Linked DNA regions of Drosophila melanogaster. The protein of the gene in region 2 interacts with the protein of the main gene of each other region in a pairwise test. Each region holds a gene or a part of one and is shown on either strand. Other genes may lie near its edges.

Region 1 (4,273 bases), on a different chromosome or scaffold from region 2:
TTGTATTATGTAGGAAAAAAACAAAACGGGTGTACAAAAGCCGAAACCGGTTGGCGGCCAAAGCTCGTGGAGGAACTAGTTTGGTTTTCTTTTGTTTATTTTGTTGCTTGGTTGCTTGCTGCTTGGTTTTTGTTGCTTTTCGATTTCCATTTCGGGAAACAGATGTTGTCCAGAACTTTTACGGGTCCACAGAGTGGAGGCGGACAGATCTCCCCGAATGAGTTGGTGCTTGCAAGTGGGGGGCATCCCAGTGAACATTTGTGTAGGATTTCCAAAGGCAGACGCTTGTCTGCCCTTTCAGCTGATAAGAGGCTAGAATTATCGGTTTAGTTGGAATAATCACTTTTATTTCTATTTCTAATCTAAAAGGCTAGACAATCTTTCAGAAAAATAATTCATGGGAGTGCTTAAATAAATGAATAAATGGAATTTTGTTGTAACATACTATTACAATTTAAATTCGTAATTGAAAGAAATCAATTATAAAAGCAAATGGTTTATTATAGTAATAAATTCTTCCATGAATACATTAGTTAAATAAACTGTTTATTACTCTTTCCACATTTAATCTAAAAGTATTGACAAATATTTCAGAAATTTAAGTAAGTTGTGCAATACGAATTTAAACGCGAATTAGGACATTCACAGCTTCCTTCCATCAAAATGAGAATGAAGTGAACGATAACAAAGGGACATTTGTTGAGATCGCTTAATCAAACATGTAATATTGGGTATATGCGAACGACTTGATGATGTATACGAATTTGCGTACTAACTAAATGGATAAAACACAATGAACCGAAAGTAATATATATTTTTTGTACAACTTGAAAGTCGTCATGAGGCGCTTGAATGGTTTGTTTTGCGAGTTTTTCCTTACAATATTGTTTTTAATGCTTACTCTTACGTTAAGGAATCAACAAAACTGAGCACTGTTCGATATAGTTAGCATTTAACCTAGGATAAGTGGTTAATCAGCGGCTGAGGGCCTACTCGATGCCATGGGCGAAGATCATGACCAAACCTGGATCGATCATGACGTCCTCAGTCATGTGGAGGTTGTCGCAGCTCAAAACGAGCACAGCTTGCTTGCCTGCGGAAGAGTAAGTTTAAAGATAAAGCCTTGTTGTTAATATTTATGTTTAAAATTGTTACCTGGAATGCGTCGACACACATAGTTGTCGTAGATCCTACGATTGGTTTGACGTGTCTCTAGCGAACTGAGCCCACGGGGCCAACGTCGCTCGTGGCAGAACTCCATAAGACTATCCAGGATGTGTGGCGGACAGCCCGACTCGGACAAAGCGCGCTTGATCATGAGCTATCAAATGAAAAGTGAGTTAACGTTTTAAAAAAATTTAGAATTTGGGCTTCACCTGCAGTGCATCGTCGGGCGTAGAGATCATTCCCCCCCAGCGCGTAACCCTGGCCCGGGGCAGTGTGCTGCTCCAGCGGATCACCTCGTCGCGCTCCATCTGGTCGGCTATGGCCCGCATCGCAGGATTGGAGACGCGCATGGCACGCATAAAGTCCTTGAATAGCTGCAGCTCGCGCTTCAGTTCGTTGATAGTCAGCTGCTGGTCGGTGAGCTCCGATTTGAGCTCACCCATTTTTTCCGTCTGCTTGACAATTAAAGTGCGCAGCTCCCGCACGCAGTTGTGGTCCTTTAGCTCATCCTTGGGTATGTCAAAGCCGCATCCCTTCTCGCAGGGAAATGGTCGCTTCGGATTGTGAATGCATTCGTCCAAATGGGAATTGTAGGCGTCTAGCTTGAGAACAGCCGTGCAGCCATAAGGCGCATTGTCACAGGTGATTGACAGTCTGGTTGGCAAGGGTCAAAGATTAGTTAGAGTCCACAAGGTTCACAGAGTAGAAGGCGTTGGGTTTTTCTCACCTGGACAGTAGGTTGCGCAATATGCGAGGCACTGCCCGCAAGTTGGCAGTAGTCAGGGAATTTCGATCCACCGGACAAGTGGGCTGGCGGGTTAGCCACTCGTTAATGCATCCGCGGCAGAAGGCGTGCTCGCACATCACGGCCTGAATCGGTAGATATGTATGATTGTTTGTATTTAAAGCATATGTATGATTCGCGGTGTGCGTTCTTTGCAAACAAAACAAACCTGCAGCGGATCCTCAAGCACTCCGGAGCAGATGGGACAGGTGAGCTCCTCGTCCACCTCCCCCTGAAAGCGATTCACATCGTAGCCCATCTTAGGTCCTCAGCACGCTGGCCATCCGCATAAAAATACTATTAATAATTCTTTTCTGCGGATTGCAAAATCTGTGTGTTTTTTTTTCGGTTCAGTCAGTGCAGTGTTGTGTAGTGTGACTGAGTAGTGTTGGAAAGCTAGGATGGCACTTCAGCTGTAATCCGCGAGAAATGGCTTCTTAAAATAACTGTTTAGCTTGAAAATATTGAGATATTTTCTGTTCCACCTTAGTTTTAAACTTAAGTTTGACTTAAAGTCAAAATTTTTGATATAATAGAATTCTTGTTTGATCTCCATTCATTTATTTGTACTATTAAATTAGCTTTGGCCAGGCAGCTTAACAAATTAAATACGTCATCGTCCTGGTTAAAATATGTTTACACACTTGTCGATCATATGATTAATAAATAATATACATATCCTGCCCAAAGGACCACGTCAGCATAAGCCACCGGTGATTAATCAGCGCACAGTTGATTTAAAAATATAGCATCTTTATAATAGGTAAAAATATCAATGTATTTAACAGTCTGGACCGTTGGCATGCCACTATTTGGTATACAATAATGAAATTCGTCAAAAAGGGAGTCCAATGGACATGGCTACCCAATTCATAGACTAACACAACACATAAAACATTTAACGCTTAATCCGATACCCCCAGGTCCCCGCACCCTCGTAGCCAGTGATCCTGTACTATATCTCGTTGCGATCCTTCCAGCCATATTTCTGGCGCTGCTGCTTCTCCCTACTATTGCTATTACCCTGCCTATTGCCATTGTAGGAGGAGCTCTTCGGCGGGGCGCAATAGCAGGATCTCTGCTGGGAGTCCAGATAGGAGCGGCATCCCAGGGTCAATGTGCCGGTGAATAGCATCTTGGCAGCCGCCTTGCAGCCCTTCATCATCAGATCGCTGGCTATGGACTTCTCGTAGCTGTCGCAGTACTTGTACAAGCACCTCTTGAAGTCCAGGTCGCACAGCTCCTTATCGCTATTGCAGGTGTCGTAGCAGATATCGTGGTCATTGCAACATGTCTCCATCTCCTTGGCCGGCAGATAGTCTGTGCTGATCCTCAGGCCCAAGGAACCACATCCATCTGCGGTGGGGGTATAGAACTTATTCTGAACCGCTCTGGGCGCTGTAAGATAAACACACATATGGATGCTGGGGAATTTACATAATGCGCAGTGCGTCACCACACCTGGTCCTCCGATATCCGGTGCGGGGCACTGGTATATGCAGTTCTCGTCCACGGCCGCATCGAAAACCTCGTGGACCGTGCGAAATTTGCGCACCAGCACTATCAGGTTCTTGAACACGTCACCAAAGATCGCCTCCGCGGCTATAATGGCATCCCTTAGCTAAATCCGGGGAGAGAAGATACAGGAGTAACAGATACTAGCTCTCACAGATTTCCTACGAGAAGCGGTGCACCTTACGTGGACTATGGTGCTGGATCCATAGCCTGAATAGGCGTAGGTTAGGAACGTAAGAAGGTATATGGCCACCTTCATCCAAGAGAACTGCATGTTCGCTGTTTAATTCGTTTTTGAAGGGTCAGCTATTTGTTGTTTGCGCGTAATAATAAACTAAACTATGCGAAAGACATTTGTAGCAGTGTGACCAGGCGTCATCGTTCAAATATACCAACCGGCTCGGAAATCATACCAAACTGCATATGAGGTTGCATACTTTTAGGCACTGTCCTGACATTTCAAAAAATCCTAATGGGAAATTTAAAACCGTTTTTAAATATTATAAATAAAATACGTTATGATTTATAAAACAAAAAAATTTATGAAAAATAAAATCTTGTTGGCTTTGCAGAGAGTATTACAATTAATGCTATACATTAATAAAAGTAAATTGAATTTCAGAACACTGGCGCCATCTGGTACAGACAACTCAAAACATTTAACTGACAATACATATACATCGATATTTCGAGGGGGGAAAATTCAAAAAATTGGGAATAAACAAAATTTTCCTTAAATGGATTTGTGGCATATATTTTTGGAACGTATTTTAGTGGCTTGCAGAGTCAGCGCAAGTGTCTTCGCAA
Region 2 (5,285 bases):
AAAACAGCAACAACACAAACGCTGGACGAGAGCGGCGGAAAAAAAGAGAGGATGTTGAGAAGGGGGCACAGACACGAACGACGAGACAAAAAAGGAGCACATTTATTCCAGCAACAAGAAAACGGCATGGAAATGGAATGGAATGCGACACACGCTAGCTTGCATGTGTGTGAGTGAGAGATGGGTCTTAATGGTGGTGGTGTTTTTGTGCCGTATTTGTTTTGTCGGCAAAACGGCGGCAAAAAGCAAACGAGAGAATTAGAGAGAGCGCGAGTGATACGGTGACGGAGAAAAGGGAGAGCACTAGCAAAGTAGTAAAAATAATCAATAATTTGCGTGATAAAAATGCAAGCCAAGCTGTTGACTCGCCTTGTTTTTATTTGAAACAAAAGAGATTTCGATTAAGATGCAAACTTACTGCAATTCCTCATCCAATTCCTCGGCGCTGTTGTATTCGGCGTGCTCTAGAATAACTTCCTCCGTTTTGATGGCAACCGGTACGGCGGACATGTTTAATCGTGTTTGTGTATTTGCTTACTATCGTGGCCAAAATGTCTGTGCCACGTGGTTTTTGTTGTTGCGCTGCTACTGCTGCTGCTTGACGGCTACATAAACATTTGCAATTTATTTATAGCCTGTTAACTTTATTGTATTTCGAACATACACATGCGTCAGCTGGTCTCAGCTGCTTTTTGTATTTAGCGGCAAATTGTTTGCCCGTCTCACTCACACTCGCACACACTAGCACTGCACACACAAGAGAGAGAGAGAGAGATGGGGATGGAGAGCGACTCTTAGCGCGTCCAAAAGTTCTTCAATTCACTATTCTGCACTCTATGACTTTTGCGCTCTTAGTGAGCATGAGATTTGCGTATTCAAATTCGCAGATGTTTTTTGTTTTAATTTGCCACCGCACTGGCACCAACACACGCGCGCTAATAGATTTCTGTAGACGGCGAATTGGCTGCACTGTACGATTTTTCCGATCGGAAGATGCGATATCCGTCCGGTCCGCTACGTGCGTTCAATTCGGCGATAAACAGCAGAGTGACCACGGCTGCCAAGGAAAAAATCGCACATAGGGAAATACATTGATGGCACTATCGATTACATTGATGCCACTGCGATATTTCGTATTTTTGCGCTTCACAACACTGAATTTTCGTTTGCTAAGGCGCCACCTATCTGCTTAATGTTTATATCCACCAATACGCCATCTGAATGGGTAAATTTGCAAAAATTGAAGACCGCGTTGTCCCAAAAAATTTCATAACTTTATTAATTTTAAACTAAAACTGAACTCCAAATATTTAAGTATTACAATATTTAAACATCGAAATAAGCGCAATTTCTACATTTTCTTTGTGAATATTGTGAATTATGTTTTCGCCGCTATTAGCCAACCGGTATTATGAATTTTCTTTCCGCAGCGAAAATTCGCCCAGTATTATGAATTCGCTTTTCGCCGTTAATATTCGCTGTGTTTCTGTGAGTTCGCTTTTCGCCGCTTGAATTCGCTGTTCGTTAAGATTGGTTTCGAATCCTTTTAGCAAAGACTCAACCCAAAACTGTGCAAACAGAGTGGCCAGCCAGCGAAAAAAAATTAAAAAGATTAGGTCGCAAAAAAAACCCTATCGCCTAAAACCATTTTCATAATATTTACCGTCGCACTGCATTAAATTATTTCATCGAATCTCCAGTTAATCGGCATTTTGAAGCACAAGAAGCACTTCTCGAATCAACCGAAAGCCGGAGAATGTAAAGATGTTAAATTACATCAAGAGGCACGCCAGTGAGTTAAAGAAATTAAAGAAATTTCGCTGCTGTTTTCACCCAACTCCCCTTCCCCGTTTCTTCTTCACCCCTCTTCCTCTTCTGTTGACACCAATTATATTTGGTTTTTTGTTGATTTTTATTTAGGCCGACGTCGCAGCAGCCAAGATGCCACGGATGCCATTTGTGGCCAAATGCCAGCGTATGATGTGGACACCAACGACGTTGCTGGAGCTGGTGATGCAGCCAACGCTCACAAACGACACTCGCTGCGCTCCACAACCAGTTTCTGCGACGAAGTGTTCCTAGAAGCGGAGGAGGAGGGCGGCGTGGGAACCACAGGAGGAGGAGGAGGAGGAGGAGGTGGTGGTGGTGGTGGAGGAGCCCCCTCCGATGGCATCAGTCTCGCCAGCAACGATGGTAATTACCTCATTGCCCATTGTTCAATTGCTCATCACGTTGGCACCTTTGAAACTGAAATGATTGGCAAATCGCAGCGTTATTCTCGACTTTCCATGATAAAACGTAGATAACACTGTTAATGCTTATAAGGAGCGATTCCACGTATCGAAAATCCTTAAAAGTGTGTCTACATAATAGTTGTAATTGTTGTAATCTTGAAACTCATTCACATATGGCAATTGGCATTTATGCTTTACTATATAACTATACCTTTTGCTTTCTTCCCAGACATTTTCACCTACAACTCACGCCTCTCCATGAATCTCGCTTCCATCGTCAACGATCCGAACTGCCTGAGCTACTTTGTTCAGTATCTGGACACCCGACAGGCCCTGCCGCTGATCAAATTCTACTTGGACATTGAGAACTTTAAGCGGGCGGCTCTGACGCAAGAGAAGGAGGAACCAGAGGAACCTCCTCGCAAGGCAATAGAACAATCTTCTCCGCACAAAGATGACAAAGATGTACCTGAATTGAAGACGCTGTGCGATCTGTCAATGCGCAAACCCCTCACAGACGACGAGAAGAGCCGCATCTATGCGGAGACCAACAAGCAGCTCAATAGGCAAAAGTCTGGAACGGATAGTGTGCTGAACGCCGAGCTATCGCGGGCCAGCATCAGCGATGCCATTGCCATATACCAAAAGTATCTGATAGTGAACGCCAGCCTGCAAGTGGAGCTGCCCATCGTCATCCTTGCGCATATATCGCTGCTACTTTGCGGAAGGGATAAGTCCGAGTGTAGCAAACCAATTCCGGCCAGCTGCTTTGACGAAGCTAGAGAGTTTGTGCTGGAGCAGCTGGAGCGGGATCATGTGCAGGGATTTCTACAGAGCGGCTACTATTCTACATACTGTCTGGAGTTGATCGAAGGCGGCTCTGTAAATATCTACGATGTCTTGAACAGCGAACTGGCTTTGTTCTACTTCACCGAGTACCTGGAGCAGCGACAAGAGCGTGAATGCCTGGAGTTCTGGATCACCGCCATTAACTTCCGCAAGAGCTTTGCTTGTGGCGAGGAGAAGGAAGAGGATCGCAAGGCTGCGCAAAGCGATGCCATGATCATATACGACAAATACTTCTCCCTCCAGTCCGAGTGCCGTCTGTGGATGTCCCAGAAGCTGCGCTTACGAGTGGAACAAGCGATCTGTGCTCCGAATGAGCAGTGGCAAGCCTTCGATTTGGCCCTCTTGGTGACGGCCAAGTATCTGGAGCAAAAGTATTTCGCTGACTTTCTAAAGTCGCACATCTTCGATAACTACGTGAACGAACTGAAGGTCAAGAGAGGTTTGTTTGAATATATATACTTCTGTGTCACTGTGTTGCACTAACCTAAGCTTACTTTTTATTATTCAGATAATTCCACCACTCATCCGAATCTCCAGCACACGCTGAGCTTGCGAAGAGCTGGCAAGTCCTCCAATGGCCAACAACAGCGACATCGAAAAACTCTATCCATGTCAGACTGCACGCACATTTCGCAGCACAACACACTGCTGGCTTCCATGGATCAGGCGCCGTCCAAAACAGCGCTAAATCATCAGTCGGGAAATCTCAACATCGATGCTAGGCAGCTAACGAATCCACAACTTTTGTGGCAGCGTCCTGTGGGCGCACTGAAATTCGGTTTTGTTAACTCCTTGGGACGCTACGAGCGGGATTTTGAGGCCGTGGACGCAGTGGCTCTGAAATCGCAGCCGTGGTCACTGAGCGTCAGCGGTAGCAAGCTGAAAAATGCCATGCGAAAGCTGGTGAACCTGCCGGAGGATAATGTGCAAGAGGAGATAGCCTGGCAGGTGGCCGAAATGATTGTCCGGGATGTTACGAGTGTCACTCTTAGTGGCAAGACTCCTCCGCTGGCCTGATGTGCTTTACCATTACGGAATTTATTTCATATTTATTCTCATTCTTTTACAAATTACTCTTTTTTGCGAGAATCTCCACGACATGTGCACAAAGAAGAAGTCGCAACAGAAGCTCTCTCTAGTACCCTCTCCTTATGTACAAATTGTGTTGAACAAATCAAATACTTTACTTTAACTTATTTTAATTAATGCTATGGGCTTTGAAAGCGCATTATTAACTAAACTATCGCTCGCTCATTTGTTATTTACAGCAACAGAAGGCAAAACTCAAATATGAAATAGAAGCTAAGTTACTTCATTCCGTTTAAATATGATTAAACAATTGTATAACATAATAATGTATATGAATATTTTTGCATACTGATGATACACTACCAAGGAAGATTTATTGTTATGAATAAACTTTTTCAGTAACCAAATTTTCTCAATGCAATTATTTTATATTTTCATCGCAATCTACATAACAATCCGAATTTGGATTCATCTGTCACTACAATACAAAATGTCGACGGAAACAGAGACAGAGACGCAGGAAAAACAGATCAATCTCTTGTTGGTGGAAATGGAGAAAATCGAGAAGGAACTTGAGCGCACGGAGCAGCAGCAGCAGGAGCCGACGGAGCCGTCCAATGGCAATCTGGAGGAGCAAGTCCGCAAGCTCAGGGATCACAATTTGCGGGTGAAGCATCTGAATACTCAGCGTCGTCGCATCCTACGCCTGTTGCAGGGAAAGATGCTGCAGTATGCCACCCTGGAGGAACGTTTGCACAGGATTGGCGAACTCGTTCTCATCGCAGAGCTCCATTCGGGTGTGAAGACACTCAATCAGCGTCTGGACAGAATGGTGGAGAATTCAACTTGCTCCATTTGCCTGTTGCCCTGGACGGACAACGGAATACATCGCCTGGTCTCGCTCCGTTGTGGCCATTTGTTTGGCTCCAGCTGCATCCACATGGCCATTCGGCGCAATCATCGCTGCCCAATCTGCCGGCGACGGGCTCGCCACTTCCACGTGCGCAGGATCTACAGTCCGAGCTTTTTGTCTCATTAATTCGACCATCTCAGTTTTTGCGTTTTCATTGAAGTTTTCATATATGTATGTACAAACCGTTCTTTTATGGTTGATGTTTGTTCAAAATTCAAGTAAACATTAAACACCTTAACTGAGGAAAAACGATTTTACTT

Evidence for each region.
Region 1: the proteins of pkaap (region 2) and elgi interact in a two-hybrid assay, tested with the Drosophila melanogaster proteins (one large-scale study listed by BioGRID).

What each region holds. Positions count from the first base shown.
Region 1 is NT_037436.4:15,954,687-15,958,959, reverse strand, and holds elgi (early girl), read right to left. Parts: upstream 2,411-4,273; 5' UTR 2,211-2,410; coding exon 2,121-2,210; intron 2,038-2,120; coding exon 1,895-2,037; intron 1,822-1,894; coding exon 1,377-1,821; intron 1,322-1,376; coding exon 1,156-1,321; intron 1,094-1,155; coding exon 990-1,093; 3' UTR 527-989; downstream 1-526. Other genes in the region: GXIVsPLA2, read right to left, coding at 2,907-3,349, 3,413-3,572, 3,651-3,740; Pka-C3 (protein kinase, cAMP-dependent, catalytic subunit 3), read left to right, coding at 4,204-4,273.
Region 2 is NT_033779.5:16,286,680-16,291,964, forward strand, and holds pkaap (pkaap), read left to right. Parts: upstream 1-1,610; 5' UTR 1,611-1,764; coding exon 1,765-1,792; intron 1,793-1,920; coding exon 1,921-2,193; intron 2,194-2,463; coding exon 2,464-3,522; intron 3,523-3,591; coding exon 3,592-4,100; 3' UTR 4,101-4,516; downstream 4,517-5,285. Other genes in the region: crp (cropped), read right to left, coding at 419-510; CG17329 (uncharacterized protein), read left to right, coding at 4,663-5,151.